2 linked regions of the Oryzias latipes genome follow. The protein of the gene in region 2 binds, or shares a complex with, the protein of the main gene of each other region. Links are inferred from orthologs where the notes say so. Each region holds a gene or a part of one and is shown on either strand. Other genes may lie near its edges.

Region 1 (4,446 bases), on a different chromosome or scaffold from region 2:
TTTAAGAGCTGTAGACTAGAATCAAACATTCTAAGATAAAGTTGTCAAGATTAAAAGAACATTATGAGTCAAAAAATAGTTTTTTTAGCGATATTACTTAAAACAAAACATTTTCTACAAAATGTTCAGGATATGTTGTCTTAAAACCAGTCATTTTACCACACGGAAAAGTTACTTGTGAAGTAGTTTTGTCTCATGTCAAGTACAAAAATATATTTTTGTACTAGTTTTTGTTTTTGCAGTGTAGATTTGCTTCTGTCTTTATGTTTCTGAAAGTACCGCATGTTTAATATAAGACAGAGTGTTCATCAGCTGCTCAAATTCACACTTTAGGTCACCCTAATGATCTTAATGTGACACTTCCACTGAGAAGAGGATCCAGAATCAATGAGAACCTTTACCAGGCTTCCATTGCATAACATTCCACAGATTACATAACAAAGGACAGAACACTATGGGAGGGCATGACCATTGGAGTCTTCCTATAGAAATAAATAACACAATATTCTCCTATATTTATACAACTGTCTTGTCATTGCCACTATTGCAGGAAGAGAAGACATCAAGATTAAGAGGGTGAAGCCCCAGAACTACAGTACAAAGTATTAGATCTGCCGAGAAGCGGCAGATCTGCAGTCTCTGCTGTCTCTGGAGTGACCAGAGACAGCAGAGGCCTTTTACTTTGAAAATGTTAAAACAGGTTAAAACAGGTCTAATCTAAAAGAAATGGTTTCATAAAACAATATATTTGAAAACAACACATCTAGAATAAAAATAAAGAGAGAAAAATGTGAATGGTTAGTATTTTGCCCAGTGCTCTCCACTCATCCCAGCTGACAGTCCTTAAATGGCCATGCAGTCCTGCACTCAGGACCACTATCCATGCAGAAAGGAAAGAGATCCATGAGCAGATTTAAAAGAACACACAATCATGCAAAATAAACAAATAGAAGTATTTTTTTATAAAGAAAAAAACACTGGTGTCTGGGCTACAGTGGTGCTAATAAAGATCTTTGGAAGCAACTTGCATGCTCGACCTCGGGAAGGGTGAAGCATGTTCATTCACTCTGTGTCTCCAAATGGCGGTGTACCTCCAGGTAATGCGCCTCCTCCCAGCACTCAGTTACCTGCCTCTAAACATCTTTCATTCTGTTTGGGAATAGTCCCACTTTGGCTTTGATGATTCCAGTCCACATTAATGAAACAAGAATGAAACATTTATTTATAAAAATAAAAAATAAAAATAAAAGACTACGTTTCTGCTCATGCTTCATATTTCATGCTGTAGTTTCACCGCCTCACCAGCAGAGGGCAACATACGCATAAATGTTAAACTTCGGTTGGTGGCAGGTCGATCCTCTTTCCGGAAACTACGACTTGTTTGTTTTCCGGTCTTCTCACGCAGCATGGAGAACCTGATCCACGCCGAACCAAAACACGTGAAAATGTCGGCTGAACCTCTTGCCGTCTCTGGCTCGATTCCGGTGGATCCAGCGTCCGCAGCTGCAGAAAAAGCTGCGGGCGGTGCTCCGTGTTTGGTCCCGTCTTACTCCGCCGCCGTGGAGCTGCTGTCAGCGCCGTACTCCTGCCTGGTGATGAACCCCCGCAGGAGGCACGTCGTCCTCCCGCCGGTCTACCTCCACAAGAAGAGAAGCGGAATCCAGGAGGAGCTGGAAGCGGAGCTCCTGAAGTTCTCCCAGAGGTACCCCGACATCCTTTAGTGGAGTCTGTGAAGATGAAGCGCGTTAAAAAAAAAGAGACTTTATCCATCCATCCAAATGAACTACAACACAATAAATATCTGTCTGTGTCCGGATCAATTTTAAGATGATTCATTAAGACGCACTCCAATGAAAATTCTTTTTCAAACATGTTCTTGTCACATTTTTCTCACGTTGGAGGACATATCTTAAGGAAAATTGGTATTAAAACGGCTTTTTTAAGTATTTTTTAATCTAATTGTTGTGAATCATCAGGAGCAGACGAAAAAACATGATGCTGAAGTTGGCTTCCGATTCGCGAGGGCACTAAAGAAACATTCAATGCATTTCTCGGGCTAAGATCACCTAAAACCGGTCCCTGTTAAAACACCGCTGGACCTGGACCCCTCAAACCTGGATTAAATTATACATTAGATAGTTAAGAATGCATTAAACGCAGGTTCTGATTTATTAAACCTTCTTCCGATTTGTAAAAATGTGAAAGAATGATTTGTATCGCATTTTACGCACAGAGTCCACCTCAGACCAGGTCCTGTTCAGAAACCGCTGTGTGAAAAGTGCAGTGGAATGTTTCTTTAGTGCTCCCGCGAATCAGAAGCTGTGAATCAGAAGCCAACTTCAGCATTGTCGAAAAAATGCTGTTGAAAAAAGCTTGTTATTTTTATTATCATTTTGGCTGAAAAGGACATTTACATTTCATGTATTCATTCCTAGAGTACCTTCCACCCCCAGCCTCGTAGACCCAAAGTGCTGTACACAGGGAAGGTAGAATACATCATATAAGTATAAAAACAGAGATTGAAACCAACATAACAAAAAGGCAGCTAGGCAGAGACAGCGGCGTGATGGTGGAGGAACAGTTTGGCTTTAAAGCTCTCCAAGAGTGTAACCTCTCTGTTAGCCGGTGGATGTTGAGTCAACGCACAATCCCTTTAGAACTTACATGTGGTTCTCACAATAGTAACACACACTGGTCAGCAGAGCACAAGAACTCGAGGGGAGAATATTTTAAAAGCAGACTAGGTAAGAAGATGCCGTACCTGCTAATGACAAAAACAAAAACAGGAATTTTCTTTTTCTTTTTAAAAAAAAAAACGATTGCATGGGCAGTCAGTTTAAGGAGACCAGGATTGGGGTAATGCGCTCAGATTTCTTTGTACCACGAATAAATCTGCCGGCTGCATTTTGAACTAGCTGCAGCCTCGCTATTGCGGGACACCGCATATAAGGAGCTGCAATAATTTAGCCTTGACTACACAGAAGATGCTACACAATTACAAAATCTAATTTGGATAAAAAAACCATAATCCTCGCCAAACGCTGCAGCTGAAAAAAGCAGGACCTGGTTACAGCCTTTATTTGGAGGTCCACTTTCAAGGTAGCATCGAGTTTCACGCCTAGGTTATAGACCACAGACTGTTGAAACGGGGCGAGCGAGAGGAGATGAAGACCGCGATCCTTTCGACCACGACGGGAAAACATAATTACTGCAGTTTTTGTTTCATTAAGCCCAAAGAAGTTAGCCGACATCCACTTGGCCGTCCAGTTGTTGCCTGAACAGTCGGGACATTTGCGCATAGCAACAAAGATTTGGCAGTCGTCTGCATAAAGATGGAAATCCACTTTATGCTTACTAACCAGCAGTAGTCACGTGAACATAGGTACCGTCTTACTCCGCCGCCGTGGAGCTGCTGTCAGCGCCAACCTCACCCTCATCCGACTTTTATGGTGCAATTGATAAATTTAAAAAAAAGTGTTTTATTTTTAAATATGATTATAAATGGGAATCCACCATTTGAACAACTTTATTAGCAGCATCCTCGTAATATTAGACCGCTGGTTGTTGAATGTTATGTATTATTATTATTGTCTGTGGGAACAACTGTCACAATAAATCCTTTTTTTTCTGTTAAATGCTGCTGTTTTTTTATTTTGAAGTCAAAGGATCGTCTTCTGTTTCCTCACTGGCTCTTCTCTGCAAAAAGAAACTTTCCAAATGTGTTTGTTTTTTGCTAACTGTGCTAGCTTCGGGGCTGCAGTTTGCGCACGCTTTAAGAAAGTATCGATGGATTTTCAACACGCAACCAAGCGACTTGAAGAATGAGTTGGATGCGGTGAAGAATCCAGTAGATTTTTAAAATAAAACTTCACCCAGAACTAAATAAAACAGAAATAATGGAGGTCCTGTTTTTTTCTCTGCGGCCCGGTACCATTTGTCCAACAAACTGGTACCGGTCTACCGCCCAGGGGTTGGGGATGCCTTTAACATACCTTAAGTTTACCTTAAAGAATCCGGTATTTAAGAGATACCTGAGAGCCCTGAATGTTGTCCAGAGAACCTGGAGAGTGCCATCCTCCAAGAGCGTTGGGCACTGGGTTAAGATGGTGGAGTATGATCCCCTCTGGGTTCTTTGGGATGGACAGTTTTAGGTACTAGGACCACACAGAACATTTTGTCTAGGTATTTACCTTCTTGTTTAGTTTATTCCAGTCAGCTGATGTTTGTTCGTCTGGCTGTGACACAACTTTTCTCAGCTATGTGTACATGTGCCTTGCAGTCTGAACGGAGTACCCCTGGCTTATGACAACATCCGGATAGTGGGCAGACATGGAGACATCTACGATGACAGCGGCTACATTCACATGGACATAGAGGCCAATTTTGTTGTATTTCAACCCAAAAAAGGGCAGAAACTCCTGGTATGTTTTTGTTTTTCTTTGGTAA
Region 2 (4,600 bases):
GCTTTCATTTTATGTACAGAATATGCATATCCATCTTTGCAAATGTTGGGACATGCTGCCAAGTCCGACCCTAGGTTGTCATAAAATGTGCGAAACCCACACAGAGAGAAAGGTGGTGCCTCAGAGAGAGTCGTCTTATGTTCGGGTTGGAAAATCAGTTGGTAAAATAACTAAGATGTTTTAAAGGGAGAGAATTTGGGGTTTTTGTACCTGGCCTCATTGATTTCCAGGTCACGGTGAAGCAGTGAGAGGTTAACAGTCATGTCACCCAAATGCAGCAACAGAGCCAGACTGTGAGCTGCTATTTTGGCCCGCATTGATGTCGACACAATGTTCTGGACCCTAAAAGGAGAACACAAAACACATTTGTCAGCTTTTTTTTTTTTTAAACCTTAACAAAAGAGGGGGTACTGTCGCATACACACCTGCCATTATTGTATGTCTCCACTGTAAATGTTCGGAGAATTTTACTTTGAATGACACGAGGACAACCTTCCTCAGTCCAAACTGCAAACAAAAACGGGTGGAATAGAAAAAGCATCATACATTACAAAACTTTAGGGGCAGGGCATTTTAACGTGTTGATCAGCGATATTTAGAATCTACTACTTCAATAACTGAGATTCCAAAATTCTGCTCACATTTGCGAGTGACAATCTTCTGATGGGCAAGTTTGATGAGGAGAGACAGGTAAAAAGCGCAGCGAGCAGTTTTCTCTCTAGGTTCACTTGCGGATGGCATGTTCTCCAGGTGCTTCATCACACACAGATTCCTTTGGTAAGAAATAGAGAAATATTTCAATTCAATAATAAGTAAATAAGGCTAATAAGACAAAAATGCTCTCTGCTACCATACCCTCTTTGGTCTTTCAACTTCTGCAGCTCCTCTTGGCTTAGTGCCGTCATCTTTTGACCGTTCGGCTCCAAAGCAGCAAATTCTACTGGACTCAGTACTGTTGAAGTCAAATTAAGGATGGAGAAAAGTGCTGCTTTTGCTCGAACTACATATGCATGTAATTTCCAATATCTGTTCAAATTGGGGGTGGGGGGGTAATGTTAAAAAGATACGCTCTTCAAAGGGGTAGACATCTTCTTTTTTGTCTGCATCTGCATTGCAGGGAGGTAGGTGTAACGACAGGGCTCCTTGAGACTCTGTTTCAGCTACTTCCTGTTGCAGAGCTAACAAGAAAAAAAGGGGGAAAAAAACATGTAGTAAAAAAAAAATGATGGCAAGTCCAGTATGAATTTGAGTTATATTTTCTTGTCTAGATTACTCCAAAAGGCTGAAAGCTTCACGCTTACCTTCCAGACCCTTGTTATCAATCACAGTGCTGGCAGCTTCAGCCACTGCATGATGCAGAGCATCACTGCCCACCTGGTTGAGCCTGCGAGAGCTCAGAGCTCGTTTCTGTTTATTCGTGCCAAAGGCCTCAATCAAGGAGTCAACCTTGAGAAAGAAAAAAAAAACATGACTTCACTGTGTGCTTGTTTGTTTCAAAAGAAAGCTTGTTTTTCTCATACCTTTTCCCTGTAGGACAGAGTGGTGTCCTGAGGCTTTGCATCATGTGTTGCCTCTCCTGGTGGAAATTAACTGGCATTACTAAATTGCCCTCCTTTAAAAATCGCTTGTTATTGTTTTGGGGATTGCATTTCTTTTACCTGGTATGACAGGTTGCATGTTGAATAGCTGAGCGCTGTGTATCTCCATCTGCATGGTTTCTTTATTCAAAACTCCAACATAATATCTGAAAATAATTGCATCACAAAACTCATTCGATAAGGATACGAAAGGTCTATATCAAATGTTAATGTATATAAAATGTAATGATAACAAACCTGCAAAGATTATTGCATTTCATTAAATCTTCTCCAAAATTCTGCCCGACATAAGACAACCTGTCTGATTCAGCAACCTAAATGGAACAGACAACTGTTACATATTTAATGAATGCGAATCTGTCATTTTTGTTTAATTATTATGGTATAATGTACGTGTGTGTGGTTGTAAATATATGGATATGCATCTCTTATAACATTTTTTATTTTACAATCAAAAAATGACAAACCATCTTAAGTTTGATAAACATATGAGTGGATTTGTATTTCTTCTTCAGTGTGATGTTATATTGATTGCTTGAAATATATCAATTCCATGCAAACTATGGTGTGTGCGAGCACGCATGCGCAATTTCTCACCACGATCCGCCTTATCTTTTTCCTCGGATTATTTTCTTCTATGTTCTTGAATGTGGCAAAATCCAGTTCCTCTGCATTGCTGGTGAAACCATTCGAAAATCGGACTGCAAAAAATACAGAGAATGGCGTGTTAATGTTGATTATGTGTGAGAATATTGCCTTGTAACTTTCACGTGTTCTGATTACTCCTGAAAAATGGAATAGTTTTATACACTTGAATGCAACACAGATAACTCAAATACTGACTGTATGCTCGCCTGCTTTAGAGATTATTGTTTCAAAAAGGCTGAGATGAGAATAATTACCTATGATCGCTTTGTCAGACTCCCTTTCCTCCTCGCAGCACACCATCCTGCACGAGGCGGCCATGATTGTTGTTGTGATCTGTGAAAGGAGCGAGAGGACTCACTCATCTGTATTTACGTAAAACGTAACGCTCAGTGAATTTGGTCAATGACGAATTTTTGTCTTTTCTTAAAGCTGTCTAAAAACATTTTTTTTCTAAATACACGTAAATATTATTCACAACACCTGTCTTAATAAAGTAGATATTTAAAACCATTTCGCTCAATAGTTTTCATCCTAGACACTTACGAACGACAGCGACACCCTGTGGTGAATCATTCAAACTGCTGCGCTTTACCTCAACGAGGTCATTTCAATCAAGGTGCAGCAGCGCCACCCTGTGAGTCTGGATGGGGAAAAAAAGCCGTCTGAATAAATGTTCGTATAGATTAAGCAAAACGTGCTGCTTGGTAAGCGCCGGAAACACACCAGATCATCGGTATTATGATATTGTTCTGAAGTTGTATCCTGCTCATCGGTCATCCTAAAGCTAACGACCATCGCAACTCCCTTCTTCTCGACAGTTGAACTACTACGCCGTTCAGACTGTATTGGAGAACTACGAGGAAGTGGCTTAGAGGAGATGTTATGAACACCGCAATGGAAGGGTTAGCCATAGGTAGCTGCACTTGAGGGGACATTTTGTGGGGGAAAGGGTGTCGGCGGAGACGATCTTTTGGGGAGACCTAATGCACCCGCTGGTGCTGCTATATAGCTAGAAGGAGTTGGCTAGCCGCGCGGCTGCTAACGAGACTCACTACTAGCCTCTTCACTTTTTTTCCCTGAATATTTTCTCAATTTTTTTCCTTCGGGGACACACTTTTTGGAAGACTTAAAGGTAATTTGTGCTATTTGACATTTTTAAAATCTAGTATATGTTATTTATTGTTTATAACCCACATGATTGTCCAGTTTAAACTTGCAAGCTATTCTTTAAGGTCTGTTTTGCAGTAACCGAATTCTCTATCATCAAGTTGCGATAAAAAAATATAAAGTTTGGGGAATTTAAAACGACTAATTACCCAAAGTTTTTGAATGTAATAAATGTTACAACACGGTTATCGCATAGTAAGATATTGAATTCTATTTTAGGCCACAGAATTCTATAAAATTAAATCAATTATTCTGAAAAAAAAATTAGCTAGCTTACTTAAATTTCCTTCTTTTGTGTGTGTTATATGTTGAGTCTTTGGAAACGCTTTTAACCAAAGTGACTCACTAGTTTATTACAATCCAAGGCAACGTGAGGTTAAGTGTTTCGCCCAAGGACACTTTTGACTGTGTAGTCTTGGATTTAAACCCCCAATCTACTGACCTTCAAATTCTTTCCTTAGTTATGTCTATGTTAAATAGTCAAAAGGAAGTCAAATGTGTGTGTTTTGCACTGATAATGACATATTGAAGTCAGCCCAAAAAGCCAGAATGTTTCTAAGACTTGTTGTCTTGTTGATTAACTTAACTTCACATTCTGAGTAACTTCACATTCTGAGTGGCTAAACACACCTGATGATCCAGGGAGCAGGGAGAGCTGGGAAACAGTCAAGGTGGTAGATCTGTTGGGCAGCCCCCTGTGAAATCATTGATGTCCACGTCCTTCTCACTTTTGTCTCCTTCTCCTCCTCCTTTGGACTGATTTGTCAGCAGAGCCATGGACTTCCCGGGACACTTTGAGCAGATATTCCAGCAGCTGAACTATCAGCGGCTGCACGGTCAGCTGTGCGACTGCATCATAGTGGTGGGCAGCCGACACTTCAAAGCCCACCGCTCTGTTCTTGCAGCCTGCAGCACCCACTTCAGAGCGCTCTTCACCGTCGCCGAGGGAGATGCTAGCATGAATATGATCCAGCTGGACAGCGAGGTTTGGACCTGAAGCGAGCACTGGCTCTGCTGTGAGTTAATATCATGATAACAAACTGCCTGTTTGCAGGTGGTCACGGCTGAGGCATTTGCTGCCCTGGTGGACATGATGTACACGTCGACGCTGATGCTGGGGGAGAGTAACGTCATGGATATCCTCCTCGCCGCCTCACATTTGCACCTCAACAATGTCGTAAAAGCCT

The links.
Region 1: polr1e (region 2) and twistnb share a complex: the UniProt entries of both Homo sapiens proteins name them as parts of the RNA polymerase I (Pol I) complex. The link is inferred for Oryzias latipes from reciprocal best matches to the Homo sapiens genes POLR1E and POLR1F.

Annotation. Positions count from the first base shown.
Region 1 is NC_019869.2:9,793,718-9,798,163, forward strand, and holds the start of twistnb (DNA-directed RNA polymerase I subunit RPA43), read left to right. Parts: upstream 1-1,365; 5' UTR 1,366-1,406; coding exon 1,407-1,702; intron 1,703-4,279; coding exon 4,280-4,421; intron 4,422-4,446. UniProt on the Homo sapiens protein: Component of RNA polymerase I (Pol I), a DNA-dependent RNA polymerase which synthesizes ribosomal RNA precursors using the four ribonucleoside triphosphates as substrates.
Region 2 is NC_019859.2:12,631,151-12,635,750, forward strand, and holds the start of polr1e (DNA-directed RNA polymerase I subunit RPA49), read right to left. Parts: upstream 2,835-4,600; 5' UTR 2,820-2,834; coding exon 2,790-2,819; intron 2,580-2,789; coding exon 2,501-2,579; intron 2,300-2,500; coding exon 2,196-2,299; intron 1,913-2,195; coding exon 1,836-1,912; intron 1,745-1,835; coding exon 1,659-1,744; intron 1,577-1,658; coding exon 1,521-1,576; intron 1,447-1,520; coding exon 1,302-1,446; intron 1,179-1,301; coding exon 1,068-1,178; intron 953-1,067; coding exon 856-952; intron 773-855; coding exon 642-772; intron 508-641; coding exon 426-507; intron 343-425; coding exon 211-342; intron 1-210. Other genes in the region: zinc finger and BTB domain-containing protein 5-like, read left to right, coding at 4,189-4,398, 4,468-4,600. UniProt on the Homo sapiens protein: Component of RNA polymerase I (Pol I), a DNA-dependent RNA polymerase which synthesizes ribosomal RNA precursors using the four ribonucleoside triphosphates as substrates.